Struthio camelus: one gene and its partner. The protein of the gene in region 1 interacts with the protein of each later gene in a biochemical or structural test. Links are inferred from orthologs where the notes say so. Each region holds a gene or a part of one and is shown on either strand. Other genes may lie near its edges.

Evidence for each region. The genes of interacting proteins can lie anywhere in the genome.
Region 2: the proteins of UPF2 (region 1) and UPF3A form a complex in vitro, tested with the Homo sapiens proteins (2 studies listed by IntAct, with this or other methods). The link is inferred for Struthio camelus from reciprocal best matches to the Homo sapiens genes UPF2 and UPF3A.

The regions. Positions count from the first base shown.
Region 1 is NC_090942.1:7,365,999-7,373,490, forward strand, and holds the start of UPF2 (regulator of nonsense transcripts 2), read right to left. Parts: upstream 3,237-7,492; 5' UTR 3,137-3,236; intron 2,851-3,136; exon of another isoform or gene 2,722-2,850; intron 2,705-2,721; exon of another isoform or gene 2,556-2,704; intron 1-2,555. UniProt on the Homo sapiens protein: Involved in nonsense-mediated decay (NMD) of mRNAs containing premature stop codons by associating with the nuclear exon junction complex (EJC).
Region 2 is NC_090942.1:156,043,097-156,050,704, forward strand, and holds the start of UPF3A (regulator of nonsense transcripts 3A), read right to left. Parts: upstream 3,354-7,608; 5' UTR 3,325-3,353; coding exon 3,076-3,324; intron 793-3,075; coding exon 686-792; intron 1-685. UniProt on the Homo sapiens protein: Involved in nonsense-mediated decay (NMD) of mRNAs containing premature stop codons by associating with the nuclear exon junction complex (EJC) and serving as link between the EJC core and NMD machinery.

The DNA of each region.
Region 1 (7,492 bases):
CCCCTCCCACCCTTTTTAAACAAAGGGTTTGAAAGTTTTAGCATTCAAACATCACTTTAACATCATGCTAGTAAGATTATATCCATGAGACTATTGCATGGGACTCTCTAAAAAAGCTTTATGAAATAAAATGTTTATGTTCACCAAGAAGCTAATTAAACACAAAAACAGAGCAACATATTCATTTTAAAAAAAGGGTTAGATTCCAAAAGATAAACTTGCAGCTAAGTTCAAAAGGAAAACGCTGGAAAAATGGCTGTTTGATTAAAGAAGTGCTGGAAAAACATGTTACAATTCCACTGCTCTGGCTTTTATCTTTGTTCCTCACCTGTTGGTCATGGAGCAACTTAATTATAATTTGGGGAAAAAAACAAACAGCTACATGTGCATTTTTTAGCATCATGGTCACTTACTAAAAGCAGTACTCCTCCTCGTATCACTTACATAAACTCACAATTCTGTTTTAAAGGGATGTTTGAGTCTTGCTTTTATACAAGCGAGAGAGAGAAGATGCAATAAAGAAAAGGAATGGAGCATAATCTGGTGCAGTGTGATTTCGATCCCAAAGCAATATCATCTTTCCCTCTCCCCCGAACATTCATGCCAAAGAAACCTATTTTCTAATGGATTTCTGTCATATATCACAGAACAAATATGCGTTGCAACACTCTGCGCCGCCCGCTGTGTATAGCTCTTGTCTCCCCAAACCTTCCCACTGTTCTTCCAACTCTCTTTATATCTACCAACTACTGACTGCAGGAAGCAGCCAGCGTGGTGGCTGTCTCCAAGCTATACACACACTGATTCACGGGTCAGTGCGCAAGTGCCAACTAACAGCAAAGACAGAACAGAATTGTTCATTGAACGTATGCTGCAGCCTTTCCCTCAGTGTGCATGTTATTTTAAGTCTTTTTTGTTCTTCTCAGCCATTGATTATCACAAGATCTGTAGAAAGGTTATACCTTTGAAACTTTCAGCTGTCTAATCCAGCTGAAACTGGCCAAAAGGTTCAAGAGTTATAAGATACAGAGGAAAAAAAGAAATGGACAGGCAGCAGGCTCACCTAAGTCCCATTTTCACAGGAAACCTATGAAAGAAGATAGGCTGAAGATACACAGTTGGGTCCAAATTAAGGGAATGTTAAGGAATTATTGGAAAAAAAAAAAAGGAACTTCTATGTAGTACCTAATGCTTATGTGAGCATACTGGTGAAAAGGAAAGGAGGAGAAATGAACGTCAGAAGCCAACAGATAGGAGGAACTGGTGCTTCACAGCTCAAAATTAGACCAGAGAAGACAAAAGACATGAGTTCAATGGGCTCTTGGACCACTTGCCATTGATATCTGTAGTGACATTTAGAAGTTCTGAACCTCTATCATCTTAGTTCAATCACCTATAGATGCTTTTTTTTTTTTTTTTTAAGTGAAAACTATGTTTATTTTTCCTGCCTGAACTCAAGGTTAATTAAGAGCTATTTATTGTTTTGGAATTTCTATTCCGCTTTTCACACCGATCTCACTCTACGAAAAATTGATGGCATTAGGCAACACTTAACAGAAAACATCAATGTAAGGGCTTATTCTCAAGGCTTCCAAAGGTTTGTACAAAGTATTAAAGATCAGCATCACTAATGTAACCACAAAGCATAAACACTGCCACCTTGCCTTGAACTGCTTAATTCTCTCACATCTACAAGAAGTTTATCACAGAGAGACTGCAACTGCATGAATCGGAATTGCAATCCTTATCAAAACACGCATGGGAGGAGAAATACCATTGTACAAACATCAGATACGAGGAGTGCCTGCTTTACTAAAGTTTCTCCCATTATTTTTGTACTGCTATTGGAAGTTAATTTAACCACGTAAGTATTCCTTTATGCAGCTACTCTATTAGAAAACAAGTTAGAGAGACAAACAACGCATGCAAGGGGTCCCACTTTCAAGTGTCGGGTGATGCACTTTCTAAAGGGGACGAGATTTGTCTGTTTACACTTGGAGGTTTTTCAGCGTGTTAAAAGTTTCCAGAATTGAAAAGCAATTCCGGTTTCTTCTAAAGACAAGGAAGATAAGAAAAAGATCACGGCCAACGAGAAGAAAATAAACCCAGCCGTAAGTTTCTGAAAGATGAGAGGCAGGACAGGAGAGGAAGTGGCAGCGAAGAAGCCCCCCTGCCCGCTGGCGGGGCAGCAGGCCTGCCCACCCCGCTGGGCAGTTTTACTTTCGATTCCAGGCGGCTCGGAGCCGATATTTTGCTGTCAGATCCGCGGCCGGACCCCTCTCACCGGGGAACGGAGGCCCAAAGACGAGCCGCTCTCAGCGGCCCGCGCCGCCCCCCGGGCGCCGCCGGCGCGCACCAGCTCCTCCACCACCGAGCCACCTCCGCGGCCCTGCCCTGCCCTGCCCGCTCCCGCGGCAGCCTGCGGAAACCGGCCTCGGGCCGCCTCACGGCCCCCCCCGCCGAGGAAGCCGCTACCCCGCGCCGCCTCACGGCCCCCGCCCCCCTCCCCGCGCCGCGGACCCTCTCGCCCAGGGCCGCTGGGCGCCCTGCGCTACCTCCGCCCGGGGCAAACATCGGCGCGGCCTGCCGGTGAGCGCCCGCCGCTCCTCCTCCTCCTCCGCCGCCGCCGCCCCCTCCCCTGGCGCACGAGGACCCCGCGCTCTTCTCGCCTCGCCCCGCCGCGCCGCCCACCCGCCCACAAGGAAGCGCCGCGCCGCCTACCCGCGCCGCCGCCGCCCCCGCCCCGGCCCGCTAGGCCAGCGGCCGTTCCCAGCGGCCGGCGTCAGGCAGCGCGGCGGGCAGCCCCGGGCGGGGTCCTGCAGGCGGGCGGCGGGCAGCCCCGCTCGCGTTACCGGGGCGGCGGAGGCGGAAGTGGCCGAGGGCGGGGCGGGGCCGGCTGGCCGACGGCCCTTCCGCAGCGGCGCCGCCGTGACGTCACCGCCGTGACGTCGCTTTCGGCAGTGCGGGAGGCGGTGCGTTGCGTCACGGCCGCCGTCGCGTCGGGGGCTTCCCTCATCGTTAAGCTCTGACAGCTGCCGTCACCCCCCCCCTTTTTTTTAAACTATTAACACATACGCATTTAAAATTATAAGCATGAGCTCTCAGCGAAAAATCGGCCTCGGGGTCAAAACGGTACCTTGCCCTTAGGATAACGCTGTTTTTAACGCTGTTTTAAAACGATCCTCGCGTGCCTGTTAATGCGGGTTTCTCCCTGAGCCTTGGTCGTTTCGTTGGTATCTCTCGTAAGGAGATGGCGGAGTCCTGGGGAAATGATCCTGCCTGCCTAGGGCACCCGAGCGCGGCGCTTTTACCAGAGCTCTTCCGCCGATACCGCGGTGGAAAAACAGCAATAACGGTGGCATCCTACTCAGTCAAATCACACGGTCAGACGATGTTACGGATGTTCTCTGTTGCGTTTTACGACGTAATACGTATTCCTTCCTACTGTATTTTACGGCATAACACATATCACTTTCTACTGGATGATTAACAGTCGTAGAATAGTGTCTTTGCGAGTACTCGAAGCTCCAAGACGCTCTCAGAACAGCTCTACGTTAATCAGTCAAACACAAACTTCAGACTGGCATATGTTAAGGGCTAACATATAACAATGCTTTTGTTCACAGTTTTGTTCTGATGCCTCCTGGATGATGCACTGCAGGGAGGGGAACCATAAGCAAAAAATTAAGTATACATCAAAGCGTTGAAACGTATGACTGATCTGACCTGATATTAAAATGAGTCAACAAAAATAACTGTCTCATTTCTGTATTCTACTATCCTATTATGAGTTATCAGAACGGACTGAAAAATTCTGGTATCTCCGCTGTGTCTTCCTGCTGTATCAATATTACTGTCTGGATAATATGTATGAAAGCGTTTACAATTGTTAATTTAGTTGCACAGAAACTCCAAATTTACTTGAAAGGCTCGTGATCTGCGAGTCCGGCCATGCTATTGGCTATTATCCCACCCCAAATGAGGCCAAGCTAGAAAATTCCACTCTGCACAATCCAGAATGTAAGAACATGAATCTGGTGTATAGTTCACAGTTACAATCCTGATTCTTATTTCAAGCACGGAGGTTTCTGATATGAGCCTCTGCTTCCTTACGGCAGTGTTTACACCCCTTTAGACTTAGGAGGAGCACACAAAAATATCTGACCGTGACATCAGTCCCAGGCCTGGATGTGCATAATGAAGTTATTCAGCTGTTAAAGCCACCTTTTATTCAAAAGCAAGAGTCAGCCCAAATTTAAGGCTACGTTTAATGTGTAATGATGCAGAGTTTTAGGTATACTCTGCCAATCGTTACAGCACCAGATAGTTTTTTTTTTTCCTTCCAGAAAAGAGCTCTCTTTCCTGTTGTTCCTCCTTCTTCCTTCATTACTCATTTTTGCAGACATTTCTAAAAATGTATTTCTGGAAAAGTTTATTAATGAATATTTGAAAGGATGAAGTCATGCTTGTTATTTATGTAGATCAATCAAGTGTCTTTGCTTCTCAAAGATTTTATGTACTTTCCAAATCATGTTGATTTACCAGGTTGATTGAACTGACTTATGAGAACGGAGAAGAAATCTGTGCTAAACAGAAAGACAACAACAACAAAAAACAGCAACAAAAAAGAGAAATTAAATGGGAAAGATATCCACATGTTATTGCTGGTGCTTCATTTTCCAAATACACCAGGCATATAACTTGTCAACGAATGCCTTTGAGTGAGCTGTTTTGTTCAAGTTCGAGAAGGCAGGCTCAGTGTTATCTTAGGTTTAAATTTCAGTTTCAACGGCGTGACACCAAAGCAATATTGGCTTATTTTCTTGTGAAGAATGACATTGCTGCCTTGTCTAACATGAATAAAATGCACTGTCACTAAAATTTTGAAAGCAAACAATAGCTCCTTCTTTATTCTTTCCAGAGACTATCCCACATTCCCCACCAACCACAGCTATGCTGGAACTGTCTCTTGTAAAGACGGTGCAGGTAAACCGGGCTCAATTTTTGTCTGATAGGACAAAAAGCTTTTCCTTATGAAGTACCTGTTTCATAGGTGCCTACTTACAAGCTGATCCAGTCTTCCTGCTAATCAAAAAGAAAACTAAGTAGAGGTCATTGCTTGAGTCTCAGATATAAAGCACCTTTTTCAATTGTTTAATTCTTGAAGCTCTTCTTGCAATTTTTTCAATGTTTCCTGAATTACTGGTACAAAACATGGACACAATATTTAGCAAGCAATCACATTAACGTCAAACTAGAATCCGTATGTGTACTCAATATTGCCTTGTAGTCAAATCCAGAAAACGATCCTTTTGCCAAATGAGCTGATATTCACATAACTTTTTCAGACCCATCTGTTTTATTCCCGTGACTTTTAGAGATTATATACAGTTACTGCTTCCTGAGAAGGAGCTACATTTTAGTGCACATTCTTTTTTTCCAGGTATACAAGCTTATGTCTGATTCCGTTAAAATAAATCTCATTTGCTTATGTATGAGGTCAGTATGAGATTCAGATCCAAGACAGCCTCTCTTCATCACTTACCTCCAGCTGACAGACTTTGTCAGGACTTACTTTGTGGGAAGGCCTTTCAGGTTGACATGACTACTTGAGTGCCAGCGACCACAACTCCTTTCGAACCCCTTTAGACATACCCCCAGTGGATAATGATTTTCTGTTTAAAATATTACAAGTTTAGATCTGCTGGGTAGACAGTTTTATACTACTTAATGCAGACAGCCTTGTTTTTGAACCATTCCTAGTTTCTTTAGCCAGGGCATCAGGTAGTATTGAATCAGTCCCATACAGCAGTCCCACCAGTCCCTCGGACAGCCTCCCTGGTCTCTGCCAGCACAGCCAGGCCAGGAGAGTCCCCTCGTGGAGCCGAGGCACATGAATACAGAAGCGGTGTTTCTGCTGGCATAAGTACCACTTTCTCACGCTCAGACATGAACCAAAGCCAATGAAGCCACTCTCCTATCGACCTAGATGTAATCACAGCAGGAGTTTGGCCATGTGTAGTTGTATCCCAGGCAAGATGATTACGCTGGCAAAAGTCTGCAAAGTACTACTCATTACTTTAAATCTTTATCTACCGAGCTTTGCCTCTCAGAAACAAAAAGGTTGATTTGATGAGATATTTATTCCATAAATTCATGCTTAGGGTTGATTAAAGCAATAAGTAAACCTGTATATACAAACATTCAATTACTTCCCTGGGATTGACAATCTATTACTAAACCACCTCATTTAGTTCTTTCTAAACATTAGGTAGCATTAGTGCTCTTATTCGGAAGGTGTTTCGTGTTTCAAACCTATTCATATCAGTGTTAATTGAGAAGAGAAAGACTCAGTTAGCTCTCTATCTGCTTTACAGCAAAAACATTGGTATCAGCTAGTCGACAAATATTTGCTTGAGAACGGTGGAAAAGTATTTCATCATGTGTTCTGTCTGCAATATTTGTCTTTTTCCCAAGTGCAGTACAGGAATATTTGATACAAACCTTTTCTGCCTCTTTATCGTCAACTTTGCTGTATCATGCGATGGAGCAACATTATTTTCAAGGTTCCTTTGTTCTCAGTATACATTAAAAAATAATACCTACAGCCACATTTCTACTGTGCTTTACTCGGCTGGCCACATTTCAGCTAACCTTCTATAGCAGTATCCGTTTGCCTTCTTTGCAGCATTAAAGGTCATTCGCTTCTTTTTCCTCCCAAATTGGCTTTTATAGATCTGCATATAAACCCAACCCCATACAGGCCTCAAGGAATACAAACGGCCCATCTCCCAGAACTGTAAATATCATAAAATCCCTGGTCAGCTATGGCACCGTTAAGTAATTCAGTTGCAAAATTCAGTTCCACCTGTCTCAAAACCATATAATCACTGTTTGATTTGAAGAAGAAAAATAGGCTTTTCGAGTTCCCTGTTGTGAAGGCAACCTACAAAGTAACTCTCGCCTGCAGCACCCCTGCCTCCCAGGTCTGCATTCATACAAAGTCTAGATGAAGCTTTTAGATTCTGTTACAACTTGGATTTTCTATCAGTCCCTCTCATCCTGCGCTAAAGTACAGCCCAGAACAGGAACAAGTTTTAGCTCAGAGGAGTCAGAATGAATGAAAAAATAAAAAAGGGGAAGGAAATTACTAGAAGCTGTAAAATAGAACTTAGGCTGCTGGTTTGAGTTTCACGTCCAACCTAACTCCTGGATTTTGTGGTGCGTTTTCCCGAGGCGCCGAGGTGAACACGTCTTCTTCCCAGTTTAAGCACAGCCCAGCGTATGACGGGCGCTTCGGGTGGGTCGAGATTAAACGGTGAGAGATCACGTAGCTGGTTGACCCTGTCGCGGCCTTTTCACAGGGAAGGTCAGGAGAGGAGAACATACTTCTGAAAGGATGAGAGAAACAGCCTGAGCATATACAAAGGAGAAAAGGCGCCTGCAGTACCCGAAGACCTAACACACAATTAATCTGGTCTTTTATTCCTCA
Region 2 (7,608 bases), about 150 Mb from region 1:
GTAATATATTCTCAAAAAGAATGCTCTGGTTGTTTTAACTTAAGTTTCTTCTCCTCTGGAAATTGCCTTGTTAGAAGGGAATGGTATTTTAACGCTGTGATACTGAGCATATTAAATAAATGTATTAGCAATTATAATTCTTGATTTTAAATGAACCACTGTGTTTCATTTTTTTAGTTTTGAATGATACAAAAATTAATAAAACTGGATTCCTTGAGAATTTGTATAAAACACAAAAACATGTAAGCAAACAAACTAAGCTCAAATAGCACTTATGAAATTTTTTTTTCATATTTGCCCTAGGTCGTCTTTCTCACAGGTGATCAACAGTCACAAAAGGAATTTAAGTGGCTCAGAAGAAATGTGTTCCATTTCAATAAAGGCTAAAAGAAACATGAGAATTTTGAACAAAATTACGCCCTATTCACAGAACAACAATTTTCTGTTTTAAAATCAGCAGTGTAAAAGGAAAGGGCAGGAATGCCCTTGTCTCTACATATGCATCTCTGTTCTCAAAAACATTTTGAATAACTACTAACACCAACAAAAAGTAAGGGCTCCAGGGACAAAATATGCAACTTGGTACATGACTATATCCAAAATACTTTAATTGGGTTTTAAGTACCTGAAAACTCGTACAAACATTTTCTTTTCTACTTAGTACTGACCAACAGCATATCCTCACCTGGGATCAGCAGTGCAAAACTCAAAATAATCATGGGCAGGTAGAGGATGTAGCTGTTCCTCTAGTTGCTCCTTAGTTAGACAAGGAGGAAGCCGGCGAATAACTACCTGCGCATATAAAACAAAATGGACAAATATCTTTGATCTAAATACTGTGGGAAGAGACTAAATATCACGTACTATTATTCTTTAAAATTGGGAGTTTAAATTGGAACACTAGCCTCCTAGTGACTTACTTTCTTATACTTGCTGGCAGAAGGAATAATTGACCTATCTCACTTTCTGCTACATAAAACGTATAGAACAACAGACTAACACCGTAAAATTGCAGCATAAGTGAAACATTCTGATGAAGAGCTTAAAAGTCACTGTAATTTGGCTGAGAACACAAAATATTAACAAATGGGAAAAAAAATAAATATTGACCACACAAAATACTTGCATTCTCTCTTTACAAAATGATTTTGTTTAAACTGACTTTTAAGTCTTTTATTACAAAAGCATTTTATGTACATCGTCCAAAGTCTTCACTCCAGAATAAAGTGTCTGAGACTGCATGAAAACTCTCATGACAGTATAGAAAAGAGTGAAATGGTCATCAAGATTCAGATAACGTACTTCTATTTCTCAGTAATATCTGAACTTGACTTAACTTTAAGTCATGGTGACCTTCAGTGCTTTCCTTTCCCCATTTAGAAAAAGGGAATAAAACAAATCTCACAGTACTCTATATAAGTATTCTCTGAAAGATGCTCAAATAAAACCATGGAGAGAGAAGTGCTCTTGTTCTTTTAAGACCTGCTCTGCCACTATATTAGTCAATCTAAATTTTTAAAGAACGAAAGATGAAAAGACAGGCAAATTTGCAGCACTCTTGCTGAGGTCCTCAAAATACTTAAGAAAGTGAACACTCATTTTGCTGATGATGAAACAAAGACGATGTTTAAATGCTGTATTTCCTTGGAATTAGCCTCAGTGTTTAGAATAGAAGCTATGGGCCTTTCTGGGCCATGCTCTTCATTACAAATTTCCTCTGATCCTTGGACATCGCCCAACGCTTCTTAGTAAGTCTTCCCATGTTCCCTGCCCTTGCCTTCCTCTGCACTTCTCCATCTCACCTTACCTGCAAATACTTCTGTCTGCTCACCTGCCCCAGGGGTTGTTCCAGTTGGCTCAATCATGCCCATCCCCCTTTGCCCCTCTATTCCCGTCCCCAGACCCCTTCCCAAACAACCCTTACTCCCGCACTTACTCCTCAGCCCCTCTATGTACCTCTTCTGTGCCTCTCCTGATGCCCCCTGCTCAGTGATCAATCCCAAGGCACGCCACTCCCTGCACACCTATCCCCCAGGCTCACCTCCCCCCAGCTCCTAGGCACACTCCCAAGCCCCAGCCTTGCCCCCAGCCACACCCCCAGGCATGCCCCCCCAGCTTGTCTCCAGGCCCCAGGTTGGCCTCCCAGGCATACCCTCAGCCCCAGATTCACCCCCCGACACATCCCCAGCCCCACAGCACATCCCCCAGGCATATCCCCAGCCCCACAGCACATCCCCCAGGCATATCCCCAGCCCCCAGACTTCTCTCCCAGCCCCACAGCACAACCCCCCAGGCACATCCCCAGCCTCACAGCACATCCCCCAGCCCCAGAGCACAACTCCCCAGCTACATTCCTAGCCTCAAGGCTCACCCCAAGCCCCACAGCACAACCCCCCAGCCACATCCCCAGGCACACCCCAAGCCCCATAGCACACCCCCCCGGCACATCCCCAGCCCCCAGGCTCACCCCAAGCCCCATAGCACACCCCCCCGGCACATCCCCAGCCCCCAGGCTCGCTCCCAGCCCCATAGCACACCCCCCCCCCGTCACAACCCCAGCCCCCAGGCTCGCTCCCAGCCCCATAGCACACCCCCCTCCGTCACATCCCCAGCCCCCAGGCTCGCTCCCAGCCCCATAGCACACCCCCCTCCGGCACATCCCCAGCCCCCAGGCTGGCTCCCAGCCCCATAGCACACCCCCCTCCGGCACATCCCCAGCCTTGCCCCCAAGGCACACCCTCAGGCCCATAGCACACCCCCCGGGCGTATCCCCAGGCCCCCAGGCACACGCTCAGCCCCACAGCACACCCTCCCGGCACATCCCCAGCCCCCAGGCTCGCTCTCAGCCCCATAGCACACCCGCCCCGTCACATCCCCAGCCCCCAGGTTTGCCCCCAAGGCACGCCCCCAGCCCCATAGCACACCCCCCGGGCATATCCCCAGGCCCCCAGGCACACTCTCAGCCCCGAGACTCACCCTCAGGCACGCCCCCAGCCCCCCGGCTCAGCCCTAGGCTCACCCCCAGGCACAGCACAGCCCCCGGGCTCGCCCCGCGGCCCCCGCGCGGCCCCTCACTTTGCTCAGCGCCGTTTTTTTCTCCTCTCGCTGTTTACCCGGCGCCGGGTGAAGAGGCGGCGGCGGTGGCGGGGGAAGCGGCGGCGGCCCCGGCGGGGGAGGAGGCGTTGGCGGAGCCTCCGGCTCGCGGCGCGGCGACTCTCGTCTCAGCGGGACCTCCATGGGCCACTTCTCCCGGCCACAGCCGCCGCCGCCGCCGCCGCCGCCACCTCGAACTGGTCCCGGCCCAGCCTCCCGCTCGGACCTCATGGAACAACCGCCGCCGCCGCAGCCAGGCGCAAAGCTCGCGAGAACTGGCCGCTCGCCGGGTGGAATCTCGCGAGACTTCACTGAGGGGGCGGAGCGGGCTGCCCCAGAACCCCGCCCGAGCACCTCAACGGTCACCGCTGCGGGGGGGGGGGGGGGGGGGCGGGGACGGGCAGCGCCATCTCCGTCCTCATCCTCTCCATCCCCGTCCTCGTCCGCATCCTCACCCTCATCGTCATCCCCCTCCTCCTTGGCATGGGTACTTTCAGGAGCCCCCACACAAGTCCCACTTATGCCTGTGGGAAGGAGATGAGAAAGAAACTTGTCCCCTTCCCTGGCCGGGGCGCGAACCTCGCCGCCCTGGCTGCTGAGACTTGGCTGCCGGCCTCTGTCTGCCCCGGCCTCGCCTCTCCGTTGCGCAGCGGGATGGCGTACGTGCAATCCACCTCGGGGCTGGGGCCTGCTGAGGCTCAGGACACAGGGCTGGAAATCCAGGCAGGTCCTAGGGATGAAACGAGGCCGTTAGGTCAGGTCACGAGTCCTGTGCCCAAGGAGAGTTTCTGTCAATTTAGGGAAGCGCTGGCTACAGTCAGGCAACATGTCATTAGCACCCACCTCTCAGGCCATGCGGCAGGCTCCGGAGTCGTTCTGGTTGACATTTCAGCGCCCTTCTGACGAGCTCCCAGGATTTCACCTAGTGCTTTAGCTCCCACAGACAGTCACATCAGCATCATTCCCAATACATTTTCTCAAGCATTGGTGGATATTTGGCATTTGATTTATCCTATCAAATAATAAGAAGACATCAAATAAGAACATAAAAATGTTTATACTGATTCAGACAATGCCACCATCCTATCTCTGCCCATGGCAAAGTCACTGGGGAAGTCACCAATAATGAGTAGAATAAGGATAAGAACAAGTAGAATATATATTAATTTATCTTCAGACTAATCTTTCACCTGCAAGGTGTCCCTGAACTGAGACCACAAAGTGAAATAGATCTTCCATGTAGCTAGTCTAGAAGTAGTGACCCATCCATCAGATCAAGGATTACTCAGTCCTGGATTGCAATAGTGCAATTTTATGATTTCTAGTTCTAAAAAGTTTCTGGAAACTCCTGGATGATTTGGGATGTCCTAGACTACTTCTCCTAGGCTTAGTGACAGAGACACAGAAACTGAAGAATGGCTGTGGGTCATACATAGGTCATAGGCATACCACTAGACTCCTCTAAAGCAACAGAAAACAGACAGAATAAGCAAAAATGCCTACAATTTATGCAGAATACACAGGGTCAACACTGATCTTCCGATGCCGATGCTGCATTGTCAGTCCTCAAATAGATGTCCACAACATGACAACAACAAATAGTAGCTGATTTGATGTGGAATAACTCAGTACTGAAGCTGCTGAAAACAGAATCATAATTCCATCTTAACCTCCTTCTGTGTCTACTACCAGTGGCTATAGTTCATCGTCATAATTGGAAATCAGGTGACGGCTTTTCCTGGAGGACATTTTCTGATGTTTGCTGAAGTCTGATTTGTCAACACTGGTCTGTCAGGCTTCATGAATAAGAAACCTGACCACACTATCCCTAGGATGGGATATTCCAATCATCCCATTAGCCTCACCTTTGATCCTAAGAGGCAATTTTCAGCTCTAAAGATAAAAGCAGGTGGGATTGGCCAAGCAAACTCTAATGTGTTATTCCTCTTCAAATCTTTTAGCCTATAGTAGCTGGGAAGAGCATGGGAGTCAATTAGGACCATCCACAGAAATCTCTTGTGGGTTTTCAAGACCTAGTCTGACAAGCTTGCAGGCAACAGCCAGGTCTCCCCCCACCCCCACCTCAAACTGGGACAAAACTGATCCTTGCAGGAGAGAGATTAGGTTATGAAACAGAGAGAGGATGTCTCTTGTGGGGACATGTTGACAGTCTCCTCAACCTGACCACGACCTGGACCTTGTACCCACTTGCCAAAGCTAACTAAGGCAATGACCAAAAGCAAGAGTCAAAAGAACCTGAGGGCAAGTGAGGCCAGAAATAGTAATCAAAGACCTCATGAGGACAAGGAAAATACCCAGTTTGACTAGAGGCGGGTTGAAAATCAGAATAACAGAATAACCCAGAAAGACAATAAGCGCTATCTAGTACGTAGAGTCCAGGCAAGGGCAGGACAGGTGCTGGGAAGTGCAGAACACTAGAGCATAGCTGGAGCTGCAGGTACGGAAATGACAGTTGGATAAAACAAGAGCAGATCAACATACTGAACAGAAGATAGATGAGGGGATGCCCTCATGTGTGCACAAAAGACATGCATCATCAGTCATCTCGCAAGCTCTAACCTAACTGTAGTTGCCTAACAGGCTGGGAGGCAGGACAAGTCATACCAATAATTCCTCTGATGTTGTCCAGGAAAAATCATTGACAATCTAGGACACTTTGCATACATCTATTTCTAGGTAACTTTTAATGCCAACAAATGCAAGCCAGCAACAGCCAGCCAAAATACTTCAGCAGAAATCTGCGACAGCACAGTGTAATAATACGTTGTCTTTCCAGCAATACCCATTTAAGGTATTTCACCTATTCCTTCCCACTCCTACCACTCTTCCCCACTGAAAATGCTAAAACAGTTGTTTGCTATCTTTGAACCTGAGAACTGAGAAGAAAAGATTTTTAAATCAAATCAAGTTCCCTGATTTGATTCATAACATAACCTCACAAACACTTGAATTACCACAGCTGAGGTAGTGGCACAGGGAAAAGTAGATTCTTATGGGCAGGGCAGGAATACTATAAAGCAGTGTTGTCATCAGAGCCAATGTATCATCAAATCATGACTGGAGAGTACAAGAAAAAATATGAAATTTTACCAGTGTTTTAAATTATTTTGTCAATGGTAATAAAAACACCATGGGAACAAGTAAACAACATGAGTCCTGCACCCATGCCTGACATAAGACAAAAGGCCTCATTTGCTAGAAGACTTTTTAGGCAACTTGGGTATGGAAATAGCTTGTCACGATAACCTAGAAAACTAGATTTACCCAAATTAGTGTTAAAAAAGAGAGAATCTTCTAGAGAAAAAAAACAGTTCAGTTCTCTGAGAAACGGTTGGTGATAGTCTTCAGGCTGCTCTGTATGCAGCAACAAGCCTTTGCCATCTCTTTATCCACAACGTGATCTTGGTTACAAGCATTCAGTATACGTGAGCCAGAAGATAACAACAAACTACTGAAAGATCCTGTAAAGGATGAGACTTAATACAATGGCTGTTGAGGCACACTTTCAGAGTTTTAGCTAATCTTCCCAAGAAAAACTTCCAGTTTACCTTGCATATGAGAAGCCATCTGAACTACACGTAAACTATCAGATACCAAAAGAAAGCTCTTCATGAGCTTTTTATCTAGCTACATTGAAGGAATCAGACTGGACACCGGCCAGAAAACACAGACACTTCCTGAATGAGTCTCTTCCCCCACACCCTGTGCAGGTATATCTTTTCACTTTGCCTCCTGGGGAGTGTAGGACATATCCCTTCTTTTTCAGAGAATCCTGCAATTTCGGATGAAGTGTTTTTGAACCAGAAAGTAAACCATTTTCATTCTCCTTACTTGTTAATGTCTAAAGAAATATGAAGTTAGTATCGAATTCTGTGCTGGACTCAAATACTTCAATCCATAACACAGAACTGTTACTCTAGCATGTTAAACTCCCTCTGGGGCGTCACAGACCAATTCACGGTACCACTGAGACAGAACCAGGCAGTGCTAGTGCTATGTTGGCACAGGAAAACAAGGGGATCTTATGGGACCAGATAGATTTCATTCGAGTATCAGTTCTGAGAGTTCGTGGAATTTTGGCCAAAACACAAACTCTTTCCCTAAATCTTCCTCATCCAGTAGCCTTGAGTTTTAAAATGCAAGTGTATAGAGAACGTATAGTCATGTTCCATAACGCAGGGACATGAGGGAAGCAGCCACCATCCTGGACTCAAATGATGTATGCAGCCTATATTGATGCAAAGAGGTCTCCCTGACCCAGATGAGGATTCATAAGACACCAGGAAAAGAGTTGAAGAACCAAGATGTAACCAGGCACAGCCAACAGTCTAGCTGAGTAGAGCAGCAGCAGCCAGCAAGTAAAGTAAAGAAAATTAGTATTTGTGTCCTCACTAGTGACTCATCTCAGCTAATGGGGGTGCTAGGATAAACAAAGGAACACAGACCTTCCCACCTCACTGCTTCGTCCATGAAAGGGTCTCTAGCAACAGCATA